2 linked regions of the Saccharomyces cerevisiae S288C genome follow. The protein of the gene in region 1 purifies or fractionates together with the protein of each later gene. This does not show direct contact. Each region holds a gene or a part of one and is shown in the gene's direction. Other genes may lie near its edges. The genes, in order: SCL1 and RPT5.

Region 1 (6,521 bases):
CAATTTTTAAAGACAATTAAGAGAACGGGTTTGAAAAAAGGGTTGTTTTATGAATGGCGTTTCCGTAAAGACGATCAAGGTAAGGATCAAGAAACCGATTTTGTATTAAATGTTGAACCTTGGAGGGAAGCTGAAATATTGGTTGTTACTGGTGACAATTTCGGATGTGGTTCTTCCAGAGAACACGCACCATGGGCTCTAAAAGACTTTGGTATAAAATCCATCATTGCACCTTCTTACGGTGATATTTTCTACAACAACTCTTTCAAGAACGGCTTATTACCTATTAGATTGGATCAACAAATAATCATTGACAAATTGATCCCTATTGCTAATAAGGGTGGTAAGCTCTGCGTCGATTTACCAAATCAAAAAATTTTGGATTCCGATGGCAATGTGCTCGTTGATCATTTTGAAATAGAACCTTTCAGAAAGCACTGCCTAGTTAACGGTCTTGATGATATTGGTATTACATTGCAAAAGGAAGAATACATTTCCAGATACGAAGCTTTGAGAAGAGAGAAATACTCATTCTTGGAAGGTGGATCAAAATTATTAAAATTTGACAACGTTCCAAAAAGAAAAGCTGTTACAACTACTTTCGATAAAGTCCACCAGGATTGGTAGACAGTGAAAAACAACGTCCAAACCTGGCGTCAATAACATGTGTCTCAGCGACAAGCACACCATCCTTTTCTAAAACCAAACTACTTATTTATTATTAATACGTAATCTAACGTACTCACTAATTATTTATTTATTTGACTATAACATCATTGATGAAGTTTATAATGCTAGCCCTTGTTAATGCATGCAGGTTTTGTGAATGCTACAGAGGAACATGTACTTTAAATGCAACATTATCCCTCTTTATTGTCTTTGCATCCGCAAATTTCTTTGCTTAATTTCAAGATCATGTTCGAGAGTTGCCTTTAATCTAGGCATGAAACCCAATTTGAAAAGGAACTCGAACATTATAAAATATGGTGCCAGCACCAAGCTCTGAACTAGATTGTCAATTAACGCTGGCCTCCTTTTCTCAAAGACACCATGGCCAACAAATTGGAAAATCCAACCAATAGTAAACAAACCCAGTTCCTGCTTAAATGTTAAATCAACCCTGTGATCGATGAGTGCAAGATTTAACAAAAGCAAGAGAACTCCTGCTAATAGCCCTGTGGGTAAATACAGAAGACAATAAAATATGGAAAATAAAACGCTTAGCACAGCAGTCAATGAAATACTCTGATATATTTTGACTCTGTGGAGCATACAGCTACCACTAAATAGGATTGTGGGGACAAATATGGAATGGATCAAAACGTTCTTAGGATTGTGGTGGTAAAACTTGTAAAATCCAAGCTGAGATCTTAAATCCAGCAAACCTTCGCCCATATTTATTCTTTTATAACAGAAGAAGAGACTATATTCTCAAAACCTCGTATATTTATATACATATCCTCCAAACAAACTCCCAAGTTTCACTTTCCTGGATTTACCTTGGCATTCCTTTTCCCCATCCTCTTATAATGGTAATCGCGATCCTTAATTATGATATCACAATAGACGAAGGGCACACACCAATTTGCCACCGTAAGGATAGAGTAAGTTAAATGGCTAACTCATTATAATCTTCATGCTAAATCATATAAGGGCAGAGACGAAGCAAAGCGAAAAAAACATATTACAATCATGTCGGGTGCTGCTGCTGCATCTGCTGCTGGTTATGACAGGCACATCACTATCTTTTCCCCCGAGGGTCGTTTATATCAAGTAGAATATGCCTTTAAAGCGACTAATCAAACTAACATAAACTCACTAGCGGTCAGAGGTAAAGATTGTACAGTGGTGATAAGTCAGAAAAAGGTCCCTGATAAACTGTTGGATCCAACTACTGTTTCGTATATTTTTTGTATTTCAAGAACAATTGGTATGGTAGTGAACGGACCAATACCGGATGCAAGAAATGCGGCCCTAAGAGCCAAGGCTGAGGCTGCAGAATTCCGTTATAAATATGGTTATGATATGCCATGCGATGTATTGGCTAAGAGAATGGCTAACCTTTCCCAAATCTATACTCAAAGAGCATATATGAGACCATTAGGTGTTATACTCACATTTGTTTCGGTAGATGAAGAATTGGGTCCCTCCATTTACAAAACTGACCCTGCAGGTTATTACGTTGGCTACAAAGCTACTGCGACAGGACCAAAACAACAGGAGATCACAACAAACTTAGAAAACCATTTCAAAAAGAGTAAAATCGACCATATTAATGAAGAATCATGGGAGAAGGTGGTAGAATTTGCTATTACTCATATGATTGACGCACTGGGTACCGAATTTTCAAAGAATGACTTGGAAGTCGGTGTCGCTACAAAGGACAAATTCTTTACCTTGAGTGCTGAGAACATCGAAGAAAGGCTAGTAGCAATTGCTGAACAAGATTAACATACTTCCTGCCACAACATAATGTGAAATCACACGCGTCAACACTCAATATATGTATGGACACGTTTCATTTAGGATTTATTTTATAGGAAAAAGTAGATCAAGTAATAGAAAATCGAATCTTTTCAAGCCCTTTTGTCGCGTAAATACATCAATACTTTTATATACAAACTGTAAAATAAGTTAATGAAGTGGATAGAAAAAGAAAATAACTAGAAAACATAAGGAATAAAGACGTAAGGGCAATGTTTACAATACTCATCCCAATCTTTTCCGTACTTTCTCTTACATTTTGCTTGGTCTCTGAAGGCTCTGTGAATCAGGACAACAAGGAAGAATACTGGGAAAAACCATGGGAACACCGAGTTGAACCCGCAAGACAAGGCCCAAACGAGAGATTGAGTCCAATCGGCAGTGTAGTGAATTTTTCTAGCCAAAGTGTACCAACCATCAATCAATAGGTACGATCCATTGGAGGTAACCATATACTTTGGATTCTTCAAAATTTGGTATGGCAAAAATGGGAAAGTCTTCCTACCTGTCTTGTCACCAGACATTTGCTTTCTGAAGGCATTTTTCTGAGCATTTGCCGTGTCAAAGAAGTAGTAGGCGCATAATAGAACAACGTACAGCGAAACATTGTACAGTGTAGACCAGTGATATTCAGATGGGTCATGGTAGTACAAATACAACGTACAATGACAGTAAGTGTATGGGACACCGGCAATATTCCAGAAGATCAGCATAAATCCAAACTTTTCGTAAGCCATGTCCCAGGTTGGAACAATCAATTCTTCACCTTTAGCACATGCGTTCGCGTACAACCAATGAGCTAACATGACAACCCCCAATTGTGGTGTCACATAGCCGTAAGTCTCCCACTGCTTCAAACAGGCACCCAAAGTGATAAAGTAAAGGGTGAACCAAGGTAATCTAACCTCGAAAAACATCTTCAAGTCCAAAATCCCCCACCTAGGGTTTAGTGGAGCTCCCATGAAGAAATCATATAGATGGTTTCCTGTCATTCTATGATAGTCATGTGAGATAAATAAAGTCCATAAGTACAATATGATGGAGAAGGCAAACCCTGAAATAATGGCACATGTCATGATCCTCCCAAAACGGTCAATAATGACATACAATCTAAAAAGATTGGTAAAGTGCAAAACCAAGACCAAAGTGGTAGTTACATACAAGGTCCACATGGCATTACAAAAGTAAGGCAATTGTTTTCCCTTCAAATGAGACAATGGTTGACCTTTTGTCCAAATCCCGGGCAACGTATAGTAGAAAATGATCTGAAACACCCAAAATGTTAAGAAAATAGTCCAGTCATACTTTTCTGGGATACCGTTCTCCAAGACTAACTGGTATAGGTGCTTGATAAAGTGCATCCACGATTCACCAGCCTTGGGTAGGGCAACCTTACCGTGATAAAATTCCGCACAAATCCACATATAGTACATTAGCAGTGGAAACCCGATCAGCATACCAATAACACCAGTAGTCCCACCAAACTCATATTCGATTTCATTTGGCTTCAGCCATTTACCCTGAGGCAGGAAATTAACCGGTTGCTTGGACTTTTTCTCCTCTCCCTGCACCTGCAGCTTCTCACTATTATCCTTTGCCATAGCGATGCTAATCTATGTACACTACGTAAATATCCGTATCTGCCTATCTACATAACTGAACTACATTCCTACGTTATTACCACTGTTTGGTAATTTTTCCTCGAGGATATATAATTCTGCTTTTCCATAGTAACGCCAAACGATCGCGTAATACCGGCAATTACGGGATGCACGAAAATAGCGCCAAGGAACGAAAAAGAAATGAGTCTCGTTTAGTTATTAAACGAGAAGAAACGAGCCCTGATTTACATTCTCAGGGTCCAATAGGGCTTTGTTGGAAACAGACGCATACCCTAAATGGAGTTTCTTTTCTTGTTCAAGACCTAATGAGTGGCAATAAGAGGCGCTAATTAAAGCTCTTCAAAACAACCTTATTCGCCTATTACACATGATCAGCCACTCTTTCATTGTCAACAATAGCATGATAGCAGGACCATAGCGGCCATATAGACATTACCAGGAGTGAGTTTTGGCTAAAAAAAGACAATTTGCACATCACTTGCTAACTATTCATCTCAGCCAAGAATATACAGAAAAGAATCCAAGAAACTGGAAGATGCGAGGCTTGACACCTAAGAACGGTGTACATATTGAGACGGGTCCGGATACAGAATCGTCCGCGGACTCCAGCAACTTTTCTACAGGTTTCAGCGGCAAGATTCGTAAGCCAAGGTCGAAAGTAAGTAAAGCGTGCGATAACTGTAGAAAAAGAAAGATAAAATGTAATGGGAAGTTTCCCTGCGCAAGCTGTGAGATATATTCATGTGAGTGCACGTTCAGCACTAGACAAGGTGGCGCTCGAATAAAAAACCTTCACAAGACGAGTTTGGAAGGTACAACCGTACAAGTCAAAGAGGAAACAGATTCCAGTTCGACTTCTTTTTCTAATCCTCAGCGATGTACAGACGGGCCATGCGCAGTGGAACAACCAACGAAATTTTTTGAGAATTTCAAGCTAGGTGGTCGTAGTAGTGGTGATAATAGCGGAAGTGATGGGAAGAATGACGACGATGTGAATAGAAACGGTTTTTATGAAGACGATAGCGAATCACAGGCAACTTTGACATCTCTACAAACCACTCTGAAAAATTTGAAGGAGATGGCTCATTTAGGTACACATGTAACCTCAGCCATCGAGAGCATTGAACTTCAGATAAGTGACTTGCTTAAGCGATGGGAACCCAAAGTGAGGACCAAAGAATTAGCAACAACGAAATTTTACCCTAATAAATCAATAGAAACTCAATTGATGAAAAACAAATACTGTGATGTGGTACATTTGACAAGATATGCCGCTTGGTCAAACAATAAGAAGGACCAAGATACTTCTAGTCAACCTTTGATCGACGAAATCTTTGGTTTGTACTCTCCTTTCCAATTTTTGTCACTTCAAGGTATTGGTAAATGTTTCCAAAATTATAGATCCAAATCCAAATGCGAGATTTTTCCCAGGACCGCCAAGGAAACCATATACATCATGTTAAGGTTTTTCGACGTTTGTTTTCATCACATCAACCAAGGCTGTGTCTCCATAGCTAATCCCCTGGAAAACTACCTACAGAAAATGAATCTTTTACCTTCAACCCCATCTTCGATATCATCTGCAGGGAGCCCGAATACAGCACACACAAAATCGCATGTTGCGTTAGTGATAAATCACTTACCGCAGCCCTTTGTGAGAAATATAACCGGAATAAGTAATTCTGAGCTACTAAGCGAAATGAATAATGATATCAGCATGTTTGGCATTTTATTGAAGATGTTGGATATGCATAAAAATTCCTACCAGAACTTCCTAATGGAAATCACATCTAACCCCTCCGTGGCTAAAAACACGCAGTCAATTGATGTCTTGCAGGAATTCATCCATTATTGTCAAGCTGGAGAGGCGCTAATCGCCTTATGTTACAGCTATTATAATTCTACATTATACAACTACGTGGACTTCACATGCGACATAACGCATTTAGAGCAACTTCTATACTTTTTGGATCTGCTATTTTGGCTATCGGAAATATACGGTTTTGAAAAAGTCTTGAACGTAGCAGTTCATTTTGTTTCAAGAGTTGGTTTATCAAGGTGGGAATTTTACGTGGGTCTTGATGAAAACTTTGCTGAAAGAAGAAGAAATCTCTGGTGGAAAGCTTTCTATTTCGAGAAAACTTTAGCCTCTAAACTTGGCTATCCTTCGAACATTGATGACTCCAAAATCAATTGTTTATTACCTAAGAATTTTCGAGATGTTGGGTTCTTGGATAATAGAGATTTTATCGAGAACGTCCACTTAGTTCGCAGGAGCGAAGCTTTTGACAACATGTGCATATCCGACTTAAAATACTATGGCGAATTAGCTGTCTTACAAATAGTCAGCCATTTCTCATCATCTGTTTTATTCAATGAAAAATTCACGTCAATTAGGAATACATCAAAACCATC
Region 2 (7,300 bases), on another chromosome or scaffold:
TCACTTTTCCGCCGCCATTGGATGAACCTGGTAGCATCGCAGGATTGACTGAGTCTGAGTTGATGTACATTGCAACAGTCAGTTGTAAGTAATCCCAATGTTCCATCATATTGTTAATGGAAATACCCTTGTCAAGACCGGCTTTGATTAAAGACGAAGTCCAAACTATTTCCGTAAGCTTTACTGTCAAGTCATCTTCGTTAGATGCTGGAGAGTCTTGCATCATAACGGAAGGCCTTATACAAACCGGAGGTGCGGGTAAATATCTCCATATGTAAGTCTCTGGTCTACCAGAGGGAACTGTTGCATCTATACCAAGCAGCTCACAATCTGCAGACTTAATTTGCTTGAAAAGATTTAAAGTTTTCAGTGGATTTAAATCATCCATACAACGTTTCACATAACGCTCTAGTTCTGGATTATGAGCAAGAACTTCCTTCCATTCTCCCACCCAAATATCCTTTTCAGGAGCGGACTTTTTACCTACCCAACGAAATGTATCATGGATAATCTTCAACGCGGCTGAACCAGCACCAGCAGCGGCTTTTTTCACGACACCATTAAGAGCACCACAATGCAGACACCTTCTTTGCTTTTTACATTGGTCCAAAATCTTCTTCAATATACCCATACGTCTTAAATTATCTACGCCTGGACGACGAAGTTCATGCAAAAATTGTCTTTTATCTGTTTCTGATAACAATATGGCAGAACAGTTTTTACAGATACCTTGCAGTATTTGAATGGTGGCTTTGAAGTACCCAATGTGGAAAACAGGCAAAGCTAATTTTAAGTGACCAAAATGGCCATGACACGATGCCAAGTTGCCGTGACAGGTTGCACATTCAAGACTGGAGGAAGAGACACCCATCTTGGGGTCTAAAGCACCGTTCGCCTTAGGAGCACGATCTTTTTCTAAATCGAAGAGATCTCTTGTAGACACTTCCACTTCAGACTGGGCGACAATATCGGCAGCGCTTAAAGCGCTAAATTCCAGCCCTTTAATCCTTTTCGGGGTTTCACTTACAACGACTTCCTTCATCGAATTCTTCGAAATTGCGGGACTCGCTTACAGTTTTGGAGAAAGCAGATAGTATTGAACACAATAAAGGAACAACTATGTAACCAACCAGTGATGAGTTTAAAAATTTAGTGCAGATGGAAAAGAAAAAAATGATCTAGTATACTGTCTGCAATCAACAAAAACTCTAGCCACAACAAACTAAGCAATCTTCCCCAAATCAACGATATTGTACGATTAATATATGCAAAGAATAGTAAGGTAAGCTATAGTAAAAGGGCAAGTTTAACCTCTTCTGTTATTTGATCTGGTGATGAGTTCTGCCAGAAGAGCCTGTGCAATAATTTTGCAAAAAAAATGGCAAATTTCGTGAAACACGATATTCACGTATATAGTGATGATAATAAGCATGCTATATATCAGTAGTATGTATTTTGCAGCTTCTACTTTCTGCAATGTGATGCCGTTGGCATTGAGATTCCAACGAATATACACAGATGCCTGATTTGTTTGCGATTAGTTACTGTAATAGAGAAAAAAAAATTTAAAAAAGACGAAAGCCCAAAAGAGACGAGTGCAATTAGTGGCTGATACTTTATACTATGTTTAATATATATACCTGGTTTACCTAGTGAGTATGTTCGTAAAAAAATAACGTCAGTAATGGTTGTTGGTCGGCAGCCTTGGCGAATTCCTTTTATTAGCAATGGTTTAATCATGTAGTTACCCGGCCAATATGTGGTGGCAAAAATGAATTAATGTATATTTTACTGAAAAGGACCCCATTAATGAACTCTTGGGTAAAAAGGGCACATCAGGAGTTTGTCTAAAACGTTTATACGAGTGACTTATTTGTGCATTATAGAGGTGAGAACAAATTGGAAAGTTTTGATTTTAGTTTAAGATGGCCACCTTGGAAGAATTGGATGCTCAAACTTTACCAGGAGACGATGAATTAGATCAAGAGATTTTGAATCTTTCGACGCAGGAGCTTCAAACAAGAGCCAAGCTCTTGGACAATGAAATTCGTATTTTTAGATCTGAATTGCAAAGACTGTCCCATGAAAACAACGTTATGCTCGAGAAGATTAAGGACAATAAGGAAAAAATCAAGAATAATAGACAGTTACCGTACCTTGTGGCTAACGTTGTCGAGGTCATGGATATGAATGAGATTGAAGACAAAGAAAATAGTGAATCTACTACACAAGGTGGTAATGTCAACTTAGATAACACCGCTGTTGGCAAAGCTGCTGTAGTCAAGACTTCTTCTAGACAGACTGTTTTCTTGCCCATGGTCGGTTTAGTAGATCCTGATAAACTTAAGCCAAATGACCTGGTAGGTGTGAATAAAGACTCGTATTTGATTTTGGATACTTTACCCTCTGAATTTGATTCTCGTGTAAAAGCTATGGAGGTAGATGAAAAACCCACAGAAACTTACTCGGACGTGGGTGGGTTGGATAAACAGATTGAAGAGCTGGTGGAGGCCATTGTGTTACCTATGAAACGTGCAGATAAATTCAAAGATATGGGAATTAGAGCGCCCAAGGGTGCCCTAATGTACGGGCCTCCGGGTACAGGTAAAACTTTATTAGCTCGTGCTTGCGCGGCTCAGACGAATGCTACTTTTTTGAAGCTGGCAGCACCTCAATTGGTACAAATGTATATCGGTGAAGGTGCTAAACTAGTCCGCGATGCTTTTGCACTGGCCAAGGAAAAGGCACCAACTATTATTTTCATTGACGAATTGGATGCCATTGGTACTAAGAGATTTGATTCTGAAAAATCCGGTGATAGGGAAGTGCAAAGAACCATGCTGGAATTATTGAATCAATTGGATGGCTTTAGCTCCGATGATCGTGTCAAAGTCTTGGCGGCTACCAATAGAGTTGATGTTTTAGATCCTGCTTTGTTAAGATCAGGAAGATTGGATAGAAAAATTGAATTCCCACTCCCATCCGAAGACTCGAGAGCTCAAATTTTACAAATTCATTCAAGAAAAATGACCACTGATGATGATATTAACTGGCAAGAACTTGCCAGGTCTACTGATGAGTTTAATGGTGCCCAGTTAAAGGCGGTAACTGTGGAGGCAGGTATGATTGCCTTAAGGAATGGGCAATCTTCCGTTAAACACGAAGATTTCGTTGAGGGTATAAGTGAAGTTCAAGCAAGAAAATCGAAATCGGTATCCTTTTATGCATAAAAATAATAATATTTTGATTTATCAAGCCGCCATTCACATATCTACATATTAGAACAATCCTTTTATTTAAAGTCGCGTAACTTCCTTATTATTGATACTGTATATGGCTAATTGTATACTACTTATTATTTGATGAAACCGAAAGCGTAGCAACAGGTATATATTCATTGGCGTTTGACTTTTTTTTTTACTGTATTTTTCTTTTTCGTTGGCACTTTCGCAATTTTCAAGGATGCATTGAAGGAAAGAGAAAAGCGTAGGAGAACAAGACGCATCGACGGCTACGGGTGCTTTGAGTATTTAACTTGCAGAGCTCCATATACAGCACACATCTGTAGATGATTTAGTGACATATTAATAGGCTGCAGAAAGGGAGTAAAACAGGTAGAAGTAAGATATCGGCACCATTCTACTTTTCATATAACGATTGATTAATCTTACCAAAGCATTAAATTTAAACAGGCTTGCAGACTGAAGGAGTACTACTAAAGCAACCGGACCAGGTAATATTTGTTGTAGTATTATGGGACAGTCTTCTTCAATCAGTTCCAGTAACGAAGAGGGTTCTTCCCACTCAAAAAAATTCACAAATAGCAAAGATATTTTGGCATATTTCAATAACAAAGCACAGCAACAGGTCACTATTCCAGAATTAGTCAGTTTTAAGGGAAATTTGCAAATTGAAGATCTAAACACTCCAATTTCTCACAAAGCTTTATGCAACTCACTTTATTTTCCGCAGAATCATGCCATGATTGTTGGGATAGTGACTAACATGTTGAGGGTTTTGAGCAACTTCCCATTAATGAAATCATCTTACGAACCAATTACGGGATATGGGTTATTAAAATGCATTTTGTTGTTAAACAGGGCACGATGTGCCAAATTCTTGAAAACCAAGTCCTATGATCAACTAAAACTGCTGTTTATCTCTTTATCACTTCAGAAAACTGACAAAGAAGAACTCTCCGAAGAAAGTGAAAACGACGGAAACAAGGAGTTGACTATAAAACAAATAATAACTGGGTTTGATGATGTTGATACAGAAATGCTGTGCATTCCTGCTGATTTTATGCTTCAGTTTTTAACTTGGCTTTTAATTTTAACAGTTGATTGTCCAACCACCAATTCTAAATTGGATAATACAGAGACTCATGATCAATGGGGCAATTTCAAAGTCTCAGCACTCAATCTCCTTAGAACTATGAATCCAGACGTGGTGGGCGATATAGAATCACATTCCATAACGTTTCAACAATTTTCAACTGCAATAAGAACTGTAATGCCCAATCTATTAAAACCATTAGAGAATTTAATGGAGCATTTTTTTTATTTGCAGCACGATTTAGTTGATCATGACACAAACTTATCGTCTATTCAGGATTCTAAAGTTATGACTCCAGCACTGTTGGCACAGTTATCGACGGGACTACCAAAGGAATTATTTATTCATAAGCTACAAAGTTTATACATCGGCAGGAAAAGTGGCTTCTCAATGAGGTCTTTGCAAGCAAAGGTGTTCAAATGGATGGCGCCTTCGATTTTAGTTGTTAGCGGAATGAGGATAACAAATTCTGAAGAATACGCAGCTGAGAAGAATCCAAGATACCGCCATTTTCTTGAAGAATTTCCTAAATTGAAAGAGTCAGATCAAATGATGGATGCATCGCATTTGAATAAAAGGAAAACTACTTTCGCTGTGTACATAGACGATCCGTGGAAAGTAACAAATAAAGATTATTTTGGCGATCTGAATACGAGAATAATAGAAATATCACCCAGGCAGGATATTTATAAAGTCAACCAAAAAGGCACGATCTATTTCAATACAATTGGTGGCGGAATTGGAATCGGGGATAAACAACCATTAATAAAACCAGCATCCAAGAGATACATACCAGGGAACGTGTCGCTTACTTTTGACAGCACATTAGAATTTGCTGTGTTTAGAAATACTGGTTACGGAGGTTCATTAGACCCTGGTTTATTGTCGATGGAAAGAAAGGAGGAAAATTCCCCTTATGAATTGCATTTTTTGATTCAAGATGTTGAGGTATGGGGCTGTGGTGGTGAGAAAGAACTAGAAGAGCAAATCAAACAGTTGGAATGGGAAGAAGCAGAATCTAAAAGAAGACAGCAAATTAACCTGAGAAGCTTGGGAGAAGACCGTGCCTTACTGGAAATGGCAGGTTTAGTTGGCCAACATCAAGGTGGCGGTTCAATGTGATGCCTGCCTTTTTTGCTGTTTTTAGTTATTGGGATTGATTTCACTAAAAATCAAGACCACTAAATAAGGCTATTGTTTATTTTAATATTTATTGCACTTGTATGAAAAGTACCAAACTTTTGATACTGATATTACACTTTTAGTCTTGAACTTTCTTCGTTAAATTGCTGACCTACTTTCTGTTCTTCGACTCCAAACAACGATTCCCAAATGTATTTTCACAGGGCCGCATTATTTCTTTGATTTCGTTTTTTTCACCAATTTTTTCTTGATGTGCTTCTTGACTTTTGTTTTCCTTTTTTCTCTTTTTGCATCTTTAGCTTCCTGCTTGCGCAATTTTTTTAAATCCTTGTCCTCATGTTTCTTCCCCTTTAAAACTTTTGGTTCATCATCGTCATAGTACTCGCCCTCCTCCTCGTCATCTTCTTCAGATCCGCTTGAGCCGTCTTCTTCATCATCTGAGAATTCCTCTGTGCCAGAACTACATTCGTGGTCAGCGTTATCAAATTCAAATTGCTCAGAAGCAGCAAAATTGCGTTCATTATCATGGGCAATCAAGCTTTTCAGTAAGTCAAACTTACCATCAGTATACCTATCAAAATCTCTTTCCTCTAATCCACCCAATGATCTAACTAAATGCAGCGATCTGAATATTTCATCTTCTGCCTCATCTTGTTCTGTAGATTTTATTGGTAGATTACTAGCAATGTATGCAACCAAGGCGCTAATATTGTTATAATCACCTTTAAATTTCTCCAAAGTTTCTGATATGACAAATTGAAAAATAACCCTTTCAGGGAAAATACTTATACCCATCTTCTCGAAATAAAGGTTAACGTTTTTGATATCCATCCTTAAAAAATCTAAACTCATTGGATGTTCAGGTTCCACACTTTGGGAAACATCGATCATATATAGTTTATCATCATGAACTATGGTGTTATACTCTGACAAATCGGCATGAACCAGGCGACAAACTTGGTACAGCAATCTCATATATGCCACCATTGTGTGATAATAATGGAAAATTTCATCACGATTCTTGTACGGATAATCTTTTAATTTAGGTGAGGCAAATCCATTACCTCGGCTTAAAAATTCCATAACTAAGACGTTGTTCTTAACTTCTATTGGCTTAGGAGCTGGAATGACGCCACTTTGATAAATTCTTTTCAGGTTCCTAAATTCCTTTTCAGCCCAAATTTTAATCATTTTCCTTGGATTATGTTGAGATCTGGAATTTCTAAATCTAAATTCACCATCAACATATCTTTCACGATCTTTGAAGACTAGGATAGAGGTCTTATAAATCTTAATGGCATATTCTGCACGGGATCCGTCTGTCTCTAAAACTTCATACTGGCCTGTTTCCTCATCTATTACGGGTGCCTTACCGGTACCTGCAAAAGCGTGGTAAACATTAGCTTCTTTCCCAGTACTTAAGCAACCGTTCAAATCTGCAATCACACCTCTGGTGACCATAGACTTCAAAAATCTCATAGTTCTCGGATCTAAGACATTTTCCACAGTCGCCCTATTTGCTTTATCCTTTGATGTTTTCGCTCTGCTGAATGATAATTCATCAGTTTTTATTTTGTGACTATACTTCTCTAAGAGCTGATTATTAATATGGTCCGAGGCACCTTGCGACACAGACAATGAATCAAATTTATCTTCCAAGGACATGACCTTCTAAAAATAACGGAGTTTGAATCTCTAAATCTGTTTTAACTTCTTTTTACTATTATTTTTAGTCTTAGTATCTCATCTCATCTCAATTTCTATATTCCACTATAAAATTTTTCACTCTTTCTGCGCGCGCCAATGTCCCCGCAACTACTCA

The links.
Region 2: the proteins of SCL1 (region 1) and RPT5 purify together in Saccharomyces cerevisiae (affinity purification with mass spectrometry; 3 studies listed by BioGRID, with this or other methods). This does not show direct contact.

Annotation. Positions count from the first base shown.
Region 1 is NC_001139.9:470,419-476,939, reverse strand, and holds SCL1 (proteasome core particle subunit alpha 1), read left to right. Parts: upstream 1-1,692; coding exon 1,693-2,451; downstream 2,452-6,521. Other genes in the region: 3-isopropylmalate dehydratase LEU1, read left to right, coding at 1-627; 2-hydroxy-palmitic acid dioxygenase MPO1, read right to left, coding at 871-1,395; ERG4 (delta(24(24(1)))-sterol reductase), read right to left, coding at 2,664-4,085; drug-responsive transcription factor PDR1, read left to right, coding at 4,642-6,521.
Region 2 is NC_001147.6:543,104-550,403, forward strand, and holds RPT5 (proteasome regulatory particle base subunit RPT5), read left to right. Parts: upstream 1-1,925; coding exon 1,926-3,230; downstream 3,231-7,300. Other genes in the region: DNA-directed RNA polymerase III core subunit RPO31, read right to left, coding at 1-1,042; RTC5 (Rtc5p), read left to right, coding at 3,754-5,457; protein kinase RIO1, read right to left, coding at 5,689-7,143. UniProt on the Saccharomyces cerevisiae protein: The 26S proteasome is involved in the ATP-dependent degradation of ubiquitinated proteins. The regulatory (or ATPase) complex confers ATP dependency and substrate specificity to the 26S complex.